3 linked regions of the Drosophila melanogaster genome follow. The protein of the gene in region 3 interacts with the protein of the main gene of each other region in a pairwise test. Each region holds a gene or a part of one and is shown on either strand. Other genes may lie near its edges.

Region 1 (2,889 bases), about 17 Mb from region 3:
TACAACAACAACAACAACCACAACTAAACAATGTTAAGCGTAAAGATTAAAATATATTCCAACGAAATATCAAAATGTTTGAAGTCAACAATCCAACTATTCACACCTATTAAATATAATATATAAACGAAAATCAAATAAAAAACGTAAATTTTTATTGCAACTGTTGTCCGATATTCAAATTGTGTTTAAAATTAAAACAAGAAACCAATAATGCAACAAATTTTATCCTCAAAAAGATTGTAAAAACAAAAGACATACTTCAATCAACCTAATACTAGTTAAAGCCAATACGAGAAGAGAACTAAACACAAGCGAAAACCCCCCCAAAACAATTAATTTATCAAAGCATAATTTTAGACTAAGCTTGAAAATATTGTTTCATAAGATAATGGAGATAAAACCAACATAAAAAGCAAAATATAAACTACAAATGTATGTGCCCAACGACAAAGTAAGTATCGCCTGCGGACAGAGTATGATTAACAAACAACAAACCACACTATTCAGCAGTTAAATAAATTAACCAAATGCCGGCTTCGTTACAAATTCCGAATAGCAAAGAGTATTGTGAAACGTTAAACGTTGTCGTTTATAATTATGATTTCTTTTTTGTTTTTTTTTCTTTGCGAATCAACAATTGTTTTATAACTTAAATATTATTTTTAACATAAAACCATAAGGACGTTTAGAACTGAATTTGTTTGCCGCTGAATATCCCTAAATAAAGTATAAAAGTATAATCGACAAATCCAGTTTCATTTGTGGGGGTGTTCAAAAGTTCATGGCTCCATCAAGGAATAGCAAACTGTCCACAGCAGAAATGGCCATATCCACGTCCCTCTTTTGTATGGTTTTCTTTTTGGACTGCGCCGTGTAGGTATATGATTCCCGTGACAACGAGGCTATGAATAGTTCCACTGCCTTCGCCACTATGAACACGGCCTCATTGTTGGCCATATGCAGATCCGGATCTAGTTTCATTATGTTCCGTATCCTGGCCAACGGCAGTTGTGTCATCTTGGCTTCGTTATCAGCAGGGGCCTTGTTGCCATTCGTCACTGGAAGGAAAGGAGCCATATAGGAGAAATTCTATCTAAGTGCATCTAACTTACCTGGTTTTTCTGTCAATTGTTCTGTTGTAGATTCTGCCTCAGGATTATCCGGCGATTCCTCGGTGATTTCCAAAGGCTCTTCTGTTTCCGCTAGCTCCGCCTCCTCAGTCTCCATGGCCTGCTGATGCTCCAAGTCCTGTTCTTCCGAGAATTCAGCCTCAAATAGTTCCTCGCTGGCCATTGCGCACTATAAAAATTGAAAACAAACCAAGCGAATGCAATCCAAATACCATATTTTTAGAGATGAGTATCAAGGCAGCCGCCAAAAATATCGATATTGCACCATGTATGAAATCGAAATGGTGGCAGCTCCGCTATCTTCTCGGCGAAGCTCCTTACTAACAGATTTAACTTTTTAAAATAATCTATAGTAATTGTACTACTTCTGTGTTTCAAACACGACATTTTGTACACAGTGGAAAAAATCGACATTTAAACAATCACTATTGAATTAAAAAAGTTGGCAGCCCGAAAACTTCACACGCTTGGCAGCTCTGCCATTATTTTAGTTCATTGGTGTACATACTGTTTTTCAGTCTACACCATTTTTAATTGTAATTTTCTGTAAAGATTGTTATGATAAAAATGGAAACCCCAAGCGAGTTTACTGAGAAACAGCCACCCACCCACGATCACCAGCCGCGTCTTAACGAGGTGGCCCAAAAGTTTCTCGCCGATTTGGACGAGGAGCGCCAGCGATTGTCCGCGGACTTTCCACTTTGCGCACTGCTAATCGACGAGGGTAAAATCAATTTGGCCCTTTTACAGGGTATTTTAATGGTACTAATCCCAATATTGCAGCTGTGGACCGTGTCTACTGCACTGGTCGTATTCCCGGAAAAGAGTTCTACGCAGACGTGTACAAGCAGAAGCCGATGAAGATTACCCAAAAGGTCTTCGTGCCCGTAAAGCAGTATCCCAAGGTGGGTTTATACAATTAGCTGTCCTCTCCGTTCGAAAAATAAATCCGTACCCTTGCGCAGTTCAACTTCACTGGCAAGATCCTGGGGCCCAAGGGCAATTCGCTGCGTCGCCTTCAGGAGGAGACCCAGTGCAAGATTGCCATTAAGGGTCGCAGTTCGATCCGCGATCGTAACAAAGAAGAGCAGCTGCGCAGCACAGGCGACCCGAGATATGCTCATCTTCAGAAGGACCTATTTTTGGAGGTCAGCACGGTGGCCACTCCGGCGGAGTGCTATGCCCGCATAGCCTACGCTCTGGCCGAGATCCGTAAGTATCTTATTCCAGACAAGAACGACGAGGTTTCACACGAACAGCTGCGCGAGCTGATGGAAATGGATCCCGAGTCAGCCAAAAACATTCACGGACCGAATCTGGAGGCCTACAGGTAATCTTACACCCTATGCAGCCTTTGGGCATGAGAATAAAAATATATTATTTTGCAGATCTGTCTTCGACAAGAAGTTTGGAGGCAACAGCAATGGGGCTCCCAAATACATCAACCTGATTAAGAGAGCTGCGGAAAATCCGCCCGAGTAAGTTACTTGTAAAGTATAATTTTGTATTATTTAATGACCCCACCAGGAGTAATGGAACCGAGAGTCCTCGCGTCATAGTAGTGCCTTAAATCCTAGCCAACATCTGTTAACCCAGCAATTAACATTTTCATTTTTATAGAGTCGACGATGTGGAGGAGGTGGCCTATGAGTATGAACATCGTATGCCCCCCAAGCGTCCGCCTACGGGCTATGAGTACAGCAAACGTAAGTTAATCCCAAGCATGCATTCTTTATTTGGGTAGTGCCGGGGTCTA
Region 2 (3,186 bases), on a different chromosome or scaffold from region 3:
GGGCTTGGCAATCTGTTTACTGATTAATTTGCAGGAATTATGAACTGCAGAGCGGCGCAAAAGTAAACAAAACATTTTTTTGAGGTTACAGTGCCAGCTGGAGATGGGCAACATGCAATATGTCACGGGTTTTTATTATTCAGATTATAATCCCAAACAAAATAAATTAGTTTATAATGTACTCCATCTGCTAAATAACTTTAAAAATAATATATATACTTTGTGTAATTAAATGTTAGTTTCTTTTATTAAATTTATCGTTGACTTACCACTTGTTAAAAACTGTTACTTCGATAGATAGTTTTGGAAAGATGACTAAAAGCTATCGATAATTACACTTATGGCGGGCTTTCATTTCAAAGTTCAAAAGTTCACTCAATCGCACCTGGGAAAAGGCTAACCAAAGCTTTTTTAAGTAGGATTGACATCCGGGGACCTATTTTTAATATGCACAGCTTTTAATACCTGTCTAATCGAACAAAGGAAAGTTAATATTGTACCCAAAATTGGATTTCGTGCTTTTTGATATGAATTAAGCTCTTAAATATTAGTAAAAGTCTTTTGATTACTGAGACATTCATATTCCTTTATTAATACTGGATTTCGATTAGTCTTAAAATTTGATTGGACTGTTTAAAATGTAGCTAATAATAAATTAATAAATATAATACGATTTGTGCGATATTTTCTTGACTTTTTTTTTGGTGCAACGATAAACGAGAGTCTTGGGAAATCACTTGGCTGCTTAGGCTGCAATCTTTAGGAGGGGGCTCTTCACTTGGCTTCTGGCTCTGAAGCAGAAGCTGCCGGACCGGCCTCCTTATGACCGTTTCCATTCTGGAAGAGATCCGATGGACCCACATGCTTAATGGGTATGATGCGCTCCTTGAGCTCCTCCTTGGAAACTAATGGTGGAACCGTGATATTGAGAACTCCATCCTCCGACAAAGTGGAAACAATGGCATCCGAATCGAACTCCTTGGGCAGCGGATAGCGGCGAACAAAATGCCGGGATACATGTCCATGATCGTCCTCGCGCTCCTCGTGTTTTCCCTCGACCACAATGCACTCGTTGACCAGTTTGACGGTCAGTTCACCTGGCTGAAAGAGTCCCACATCCAGATGGACCTCGAAATTGCCCTGCTTATTTGAGGCTCCACCGCGGCTCAATGCAGCCAGCTCTCCGTTCCTTTTATTGGCCACCAGGTGATGGGCATGTGCACCCATCCGGGCAATCAGACCCAGGGTGTGCAAATCAAGATCATGATGCTGCCGCGAATGCAATCGCCTGTACATGCGATTCGGGAACATATCGTGGCCGTAGTACATGGAGTCCGGGGAGTCCAAATTCAAGACAAAGGGAATATCTGGCATTTTACTTTTCTTTGCTTAACTTCTTTGTGTATCTGGCGGAAGGAGGTTCGTTGAACCGACGACCTGTTTTCCTTTCAAAAAGTATCCAAGGGGTTGATTTGCCAGCGGGTGGTGGAATCCACAATCTCAGCTGCAGTTTGGCGCACAATTCACCTTGACTTTTCCGACTCGAATGTGGAGTTTAACGGTTTGTCTGCGCCCTTTTATAGAGACGGAAGAGCTTTGCCCATTGCCACAGAGCTTTTCTGGAGCAGCAACTCGTTGTTTCGTTGATTCTAGGGAGACAACTGGGAACCTTCTGGGGGCCAAGCTTTCGTAGACTGTAAACTGTTATATGTGATCCGCCATAAGGTATGTATGTATGTATAAAATGAGTGCAGATAGCAAGCTCTGTATTGGAGATCATACCATAAGATTTTAATTTCAAATTCAAAGTGAAATCGGATACAGATGAGAGGCGCAATCTCCAGTGTCAGCTGGACAAACAAGACGACACCACGATAATCAAAATGCGATAAGCAAGTACGCACATACATATGTACATACCCGAATCTTTAATCTTGAACCTCATAAATGGATCATCTGCGCCCAGCTGGCAAGTCAGTTGTTATTCAGCTGGCGAACCGGTTGAAATTCGTGCTCCGCCCCATAACTACAATGGCCACGTACGAACAGGTTAAGGATGTGCCCAACCATCCGGATGTGTATCTTATCGACGTTCGACGGAAGGAAGAGCTCCAGCAGACGGGCTTCATTCCAGCCAGCATCAATATACCCTGTAATAAACTACTTTCCCTAGTATTTGCTTTATTACTATGTGTTTTATTACTATTTATTTACTTAGTGGATGAACTGGACAAGGCTCTAAATCTGGATGGATCTGCTTTTAAAAACAAGTACGGAAGATCGAAGCCGGAGAAGCAGTCGCCAATCATATTCACCTGCCGGTCGGGAAATCGAGTCTTGGAAGCAGAGAAAATTGCCAAAAGTCAGGGATACAGCAAGTGAGTTTTAAAATTGTATTATAGTTGCAATAGTTTATATCGGATACATATATGTATGCTCATTTTAGTGTGGTGATCTACAAAGGCTCCTGGAATGAATGGGCTCAAAAGGAGGGACTTTGACGATAAACGTCGCTATATTTCTGAATAAATGAAGATTAATATTAATTAATTAATTAATTATTAATAGCTAAAAAAAACAGAAAACTTTAATTATTTGTTAATATTAAGCTGTATTTTTCATATATCTCAAGTTCTTGACTACACCCATGGCAAGCTTATCAATACACACACGTATACACTCGCACTCAGAAAGCTGTGCACTCCCACAAAACTTTCTCTCTCCCACTCTCTAATGGAGCTCTCTCAATCTGTCTCTCTGCGTATGGAAACTGACCTTCCCCAAGGCGCAACAGCGAGAGAGAACTTCGCTAAATGCTAAAATAAAAGGTAAATAAAGTAATATTTGGACACCCAGAGAGCCCCAGAAACTTCCACGGAGTTCGCTAAAGAACAGTGAACAACCCCTAACTAAATGCCATTGCCCGATTTCAGGCAAAGTGGAAAATTGCATCAGCAAAGGGCGAAGAAAATTCGAGAGAGTGCCGGTATTTTCTAGATTATATGGATTTCCTCTCTGCCAAGAGTATAAATAGCCACCGGTTGGACACTGCGCTCTCAGTTCAAAAAAACCAAACCAACTGCTAACAACTCGAAGAAAGTCAACTAAATTAAAATTTCGCCAGCTAAATAGAAATTTCATAGGATTGAAACTTCAGACAACAAGATTATCTTCGAAACATAGAGG
Region 3 (4,187 bases):
TCGGGCGTTTTGATGGTTAAAGGAAGGGCGTGGCCAAAGTGTTTTTTGGAATACCTACAGAAATTAACAAGACAAACAATAAAATATGGGTCAACAAACTTGCGCTTTTATAGTTCATGATCGATTCGCTATGATCCTGATCAAGAACATATATATATACCTTATACATTCGGAAACGCGTTCTTCTGCCTGTTACATACTTTTCAACGAATCTAATCGTTATACGGTTATATTTCCTTTTAATTTGGCCACTTTGTAATTCAAAAAGCACACAGAAGAAACATTTATAAAATATAATAAAAAATAAAAATAGCGAGGATTAAATTAGCAGACTTTAATTTCGCCAAACTACACAATAATATATATATAATTTTTATCAATTGAACTCTCGATATATGTTGCTAGTCAAGTGTCTTTACCTGTGTAAAAATTAATTAGGTTACTTAAACCAAAACTGATAAAACCCATACAGGCGCATAAAAAGAAAAATAGAAGACCAAAAAATTCAACAAACCAAGTAAAATGTACGTTTTTTATATTTATGAGAAGATTAACTTATAATTGGTGAATTATTAATGTAGCTTATTAGCTTATTTAATCTTGTGGAACTCCTCCATGCATAGCTTGCAGCTCCAAGAACCCTCTGGTGGAGTCACAAGCGGTGGTGACAGGCAGTACATATGGTATCCCCGGTCACAATCGTCACAAAATAAAAGTTGATCGTCATTATCAGAGGTCCCACAGATGGAGCAGTACTTGCATTCAATGCATTGCCAACGATAACGTTTTACCGATATAATCATATTTGCCGTGAACTGCAGACACGATGGATGACCGGAACGACCACAGTCCGAGCACGATACTAGCTCTTCGGGCATATTGGTTTTTTTATTTTCTCGTTGATCTCCCAGACAAAAGTCACAATAAGGTGATGGTTGCGCTATGTCACGTTCTACACGTTGTTTGACCTTATTACCAGTAGCAAACACCGTTTGATTTGTTCCTGTTTGCACCGGATGCGCATTGCAAACATTTGAGGTTGTCAGGCCCGCGTTTATGGCAACCATTGTTGCTAGGGGAATTGAGTCATTGGAAGCTCCAGCATCGCTTGAAGTCTTATCGTACGACGACGATATGTTTGTTGGCAGTATGAGTCCTGACTGTGAATTGTCGTCATTTATGGGAATAGGCGAAGCTGAGTTGGAATGAGATGCATAGAGCCCAGTGCTAGCGACAGCAGCTGCAGTACATGCTGCATGTGCGACAGCGGCGGCAGCTGCCGCTGCGGCTGCGGATGTATTTGCACTATTTCCACCGGCTCTACGTTTTCGATCAGATTCTCCCTCAACGGCGTTCTTTCGACGATTGCCTAGGGTATCAATAACGTTTACAATTCATCAGCTTAATAAACTTGTACTCACCACCACCTTTACGTCCCCGTTTGGGAGTACCCTCTACGTTTGCATTTGTTCGTCTAGGACGCGAACACTTTTTGCGTTTGCCCCGGCTGGTGTAAGACTCATCAAAATCGTTATCTGAATCAAAGTCATCCTCAAATTCATCGCCATGATGAAAATGTGATGTGTCCATTTCATCGTGGAACCATTCTTTTTCGACGTTTGCATGTGAGTCCTTACTATCATTATCTCCTGATGCTCCCATGGAGTTGCCATCCGTAGCAGCAATGGCTGTAAATAAAAACCCATAATAAATATAAATGTCAGATGTATAAAATATTGACTTTCATCCGACGATAAGCTGCAATTTTTTACCTGCGCTTTCAGCTAAGTGAGGATTTTGTGGTACAGCAACGCCAGACGAAGGTATATGATGGTGATGCTGATGCGTTTGATGGTGGGAGTGCTGAAGGTTGTGCTCGCGATACTGATAGGCTCGGAAACTTTGATTCGGGTTAAGTAAGTACTGACGTTTTGGTTTGCGCCACCGAGACGATGGATAAGTGTATATCTGACCATGTCGAAGACCTGGCATTCGCTGTTTTTTTTTCATAAAGAGGGAGCAATGTGTCTGTGCGACACCTGTCTGGGGATCGAGGAATGGCATGCGAAGTCGACGTTCAATGCATAGACGAGTGTTGAAATTCTCGCTGTTTTCTAGAATCTCCTTGTACTTTTCCTTGTCATTTAAAAAGTTCTGAATTTTTTCAAAATTGGCAATGTTTACTACCAAAGTTTTTTCGTACGCAGATTTGGAAGCCATGTTGATGCCGAGTGGTAGCCGCAGGAATTATTTGGTTAAGCAATAGCTAAACTAAAGAGCTAAATTGTCAACATATTTTTTTGTCATTGATAAAATTTATGTTTCTTCACACACAATTCAAGCTGATACAAATAACAAAATATAGAATTGTTATGGGGCACTAGGCAAGAAGTACAAAATTAAATATTTAGAAAAGGTGTGAACGTATTTCTATTTTAAAATAGATACAAAATGTATATCAAAGTTCTCGACCATAGTTATAATAAGTTATTTCCACAAGTGCTCCCTAATGCGCAATTCACAACTTCTTGATACGTAACAATAAGTTAACATTAACAATAAGTTCTGTAGCAAAAGTTCTTGATCCAGTGCTAAGAAATAAACATTGCATTAAAAGAATTTATTTATTTTTTTTTGTTTTTATACCATTGATGCTATATTTTTTAATTCCGAATTTTTATCGCATTGAAGGAGAATTTTCGGAGTGTGAAAGTCTCTTAATGCTTAACGGCTGGTCATATCGTCTCGAATTAGTCATGTTCAAAATGTACTGAGTTTGACTTTTAAATAGTTATTCAAAATTTTTTTTAAGAATATATGTTATTTATCCAATTTAGCCATATTGATGAAAATGATAAACATAACCCTCTTCATGAAAACCACTTCTTTATTTCTATTCACACTGGTGAAATTTATTCAGTCGTTTTGAATTTGACAATTCTATTTGAATTTTTTGATGTAGATGTATAGCAAGTGTATTAAAACAAATACAAAAACATTTAAAACACGAAATCAACACCGCAGGGGTCGATAGTTAAATCGAAGTTTTAAAGTCTGTATACATTAGATATAAATTTATTAAAGATCAATCATTCGCCAGAAGTTAAACCATAGGCGTTGGATCTCATTAAATTGTACCGCAAACTTCCTTGACAAGGATACCATCTGCTCCATTTCTAAACCCGCTACTCGTAGACTAAAAGGGTACACTGGATTCGTTAAAAAATAGGTAACAACCCGAAGGAACGGTTTCTGATCACATAAAGTATATATATTCTTGATCCGATTAATAGCCGAGTTGAATTGGCCATGTCCGTCCGCATGAACGTCGAAAGCTCAGGAACTATTAAAGCTATAAGGTTGAGATTAAGCATGCAGATCCAGAAGCATTCACAAACTGCTTAAGACTGCCAGGCTAATATATTAAAAAAATGTTTTGATATTTGTATATTTTTCCGTTAGTTTTGTAAATTTCTATCGATATGCGAAAAAAAAGTAAACGTGTCCGATCTGATAAATTAAGAATTATAGATCAGGATTATTCTTGGACGCTCGTACCAGTAAGTGTATATTAAAAAGTTGCCAGGATCATTTATTGGGCAACAAAATGTAGCGATAATAATCGGAAAATCGTCTGTATCCGTGGAAAGTACTGATCGAGACCAGAATGGCGGGATTTTGGCTTGGATACTTTCAACGAGTGTATAAAAGGCGGAACGCTGGACGAAGGCAGGCACGAAAACAAACAAAATTCTATGTGCAGTACCGTGAAAATGAAAAAACGGTATTTTTAAGCACCTCAGAGTTCCACGCTAAAGAGTTAGCCAACCACAGGGGCCCGCCATGAAAAGCAGCCGAAAAAAATTTTGGCCTCAAACCTCACATATGTAAATTAACTTTTTGCGGTATAAATTATTTTAAAAAATAATTTTTTATTTTTTAGTATTTTTATTGGTGTTAAACTTTTCAACTTATCACTTTATTACAAGACACTTATTGTTATCTATTTATACACTAATAAACCGTTCTTTTAATCCTCCCGAATCAGACTGATCTTCAAATTCTGAATCCTAATCCAATCAACCTCGGCCAGAAGCTTTTCTTTGACACTTTCTGAACTTTTGATAAAAGCTTTATGCTGAAATTATTCCACTGCATTGTGAAATTCAATTATGCTGATCGATGCA

What was found.
Region 1: the proteins of d4 (region 3) and PolE4 interact in a two-hybrid assay, tested with the Drosophila melanogaster proteins (one large-scale study listed by BioGRID).
Region 2: the proteins of d4 (region 3) and Hsp67Bc interact in a two-hybrid assay, tested with the Drosophila melanogaster proteins (one large-scale study listed by BioGRID).

Annotation. Positions count from the first base shown.
Region 1 is NT_033778.4:22,410,261-22,413,149, reverse strand, and holds PolE4 (DNA polymerase epsilon subunit 4), read right to left. Parts: upstream 1,362-2,889; 5' UTR 1,297-1,361; coding exon 1,116-1,296; intron 1,062-1,115; coding exon 775-1,061; 3' UTR 568-774; downstream 1-567. Other genes in the region: qkr58E-3 (quaking related 58E-3), read left to right, coding at 1,701-1,857, 1,917-2,038, 2,099-2,463, 2,522-2,611, 2,754-2,839. UniProt on the Drosophila melanogaster protein: Accessory component of the DNA polymerase epsilon complex. Participates in DNA repair and in chromosomal DNA replication. Has a role in cell cycle progression. Required for wing morphogenesis.
Region 2 is NT_037436.4:9,370,944-9,374,129, forward strand, and holds Hsp67Bc (heat shock gene 67Bc), read right to left. Parts: upstream 1,555-3,186; 5' UTR 1,375-1,554; coding exon 775-1,374; 3' UTR 568-774; downstream 1-567. Other genes in the region: Fdx1 (ferredoxin 1), read right to left, coding at 1-75; CG4456 (uncharacterized protein), read left to right, coding at 2,032-2,152, 2,219-2,378, 2,447-2,501.
Region 3 is NT_033778.4:5,292,298-5,296,484, reverse strand, and holds d4 (d4), read right to left. Parts: upstream 2,423-4,187; 5' UTR 2,221-2,422; coding exon 1,773-2,220; intron 1,689-1,772; coding exon 1,422-1,688; intron 1,370-1,421; coding exon 591-1,369; 3' UTR 520-590; downstream 1-519.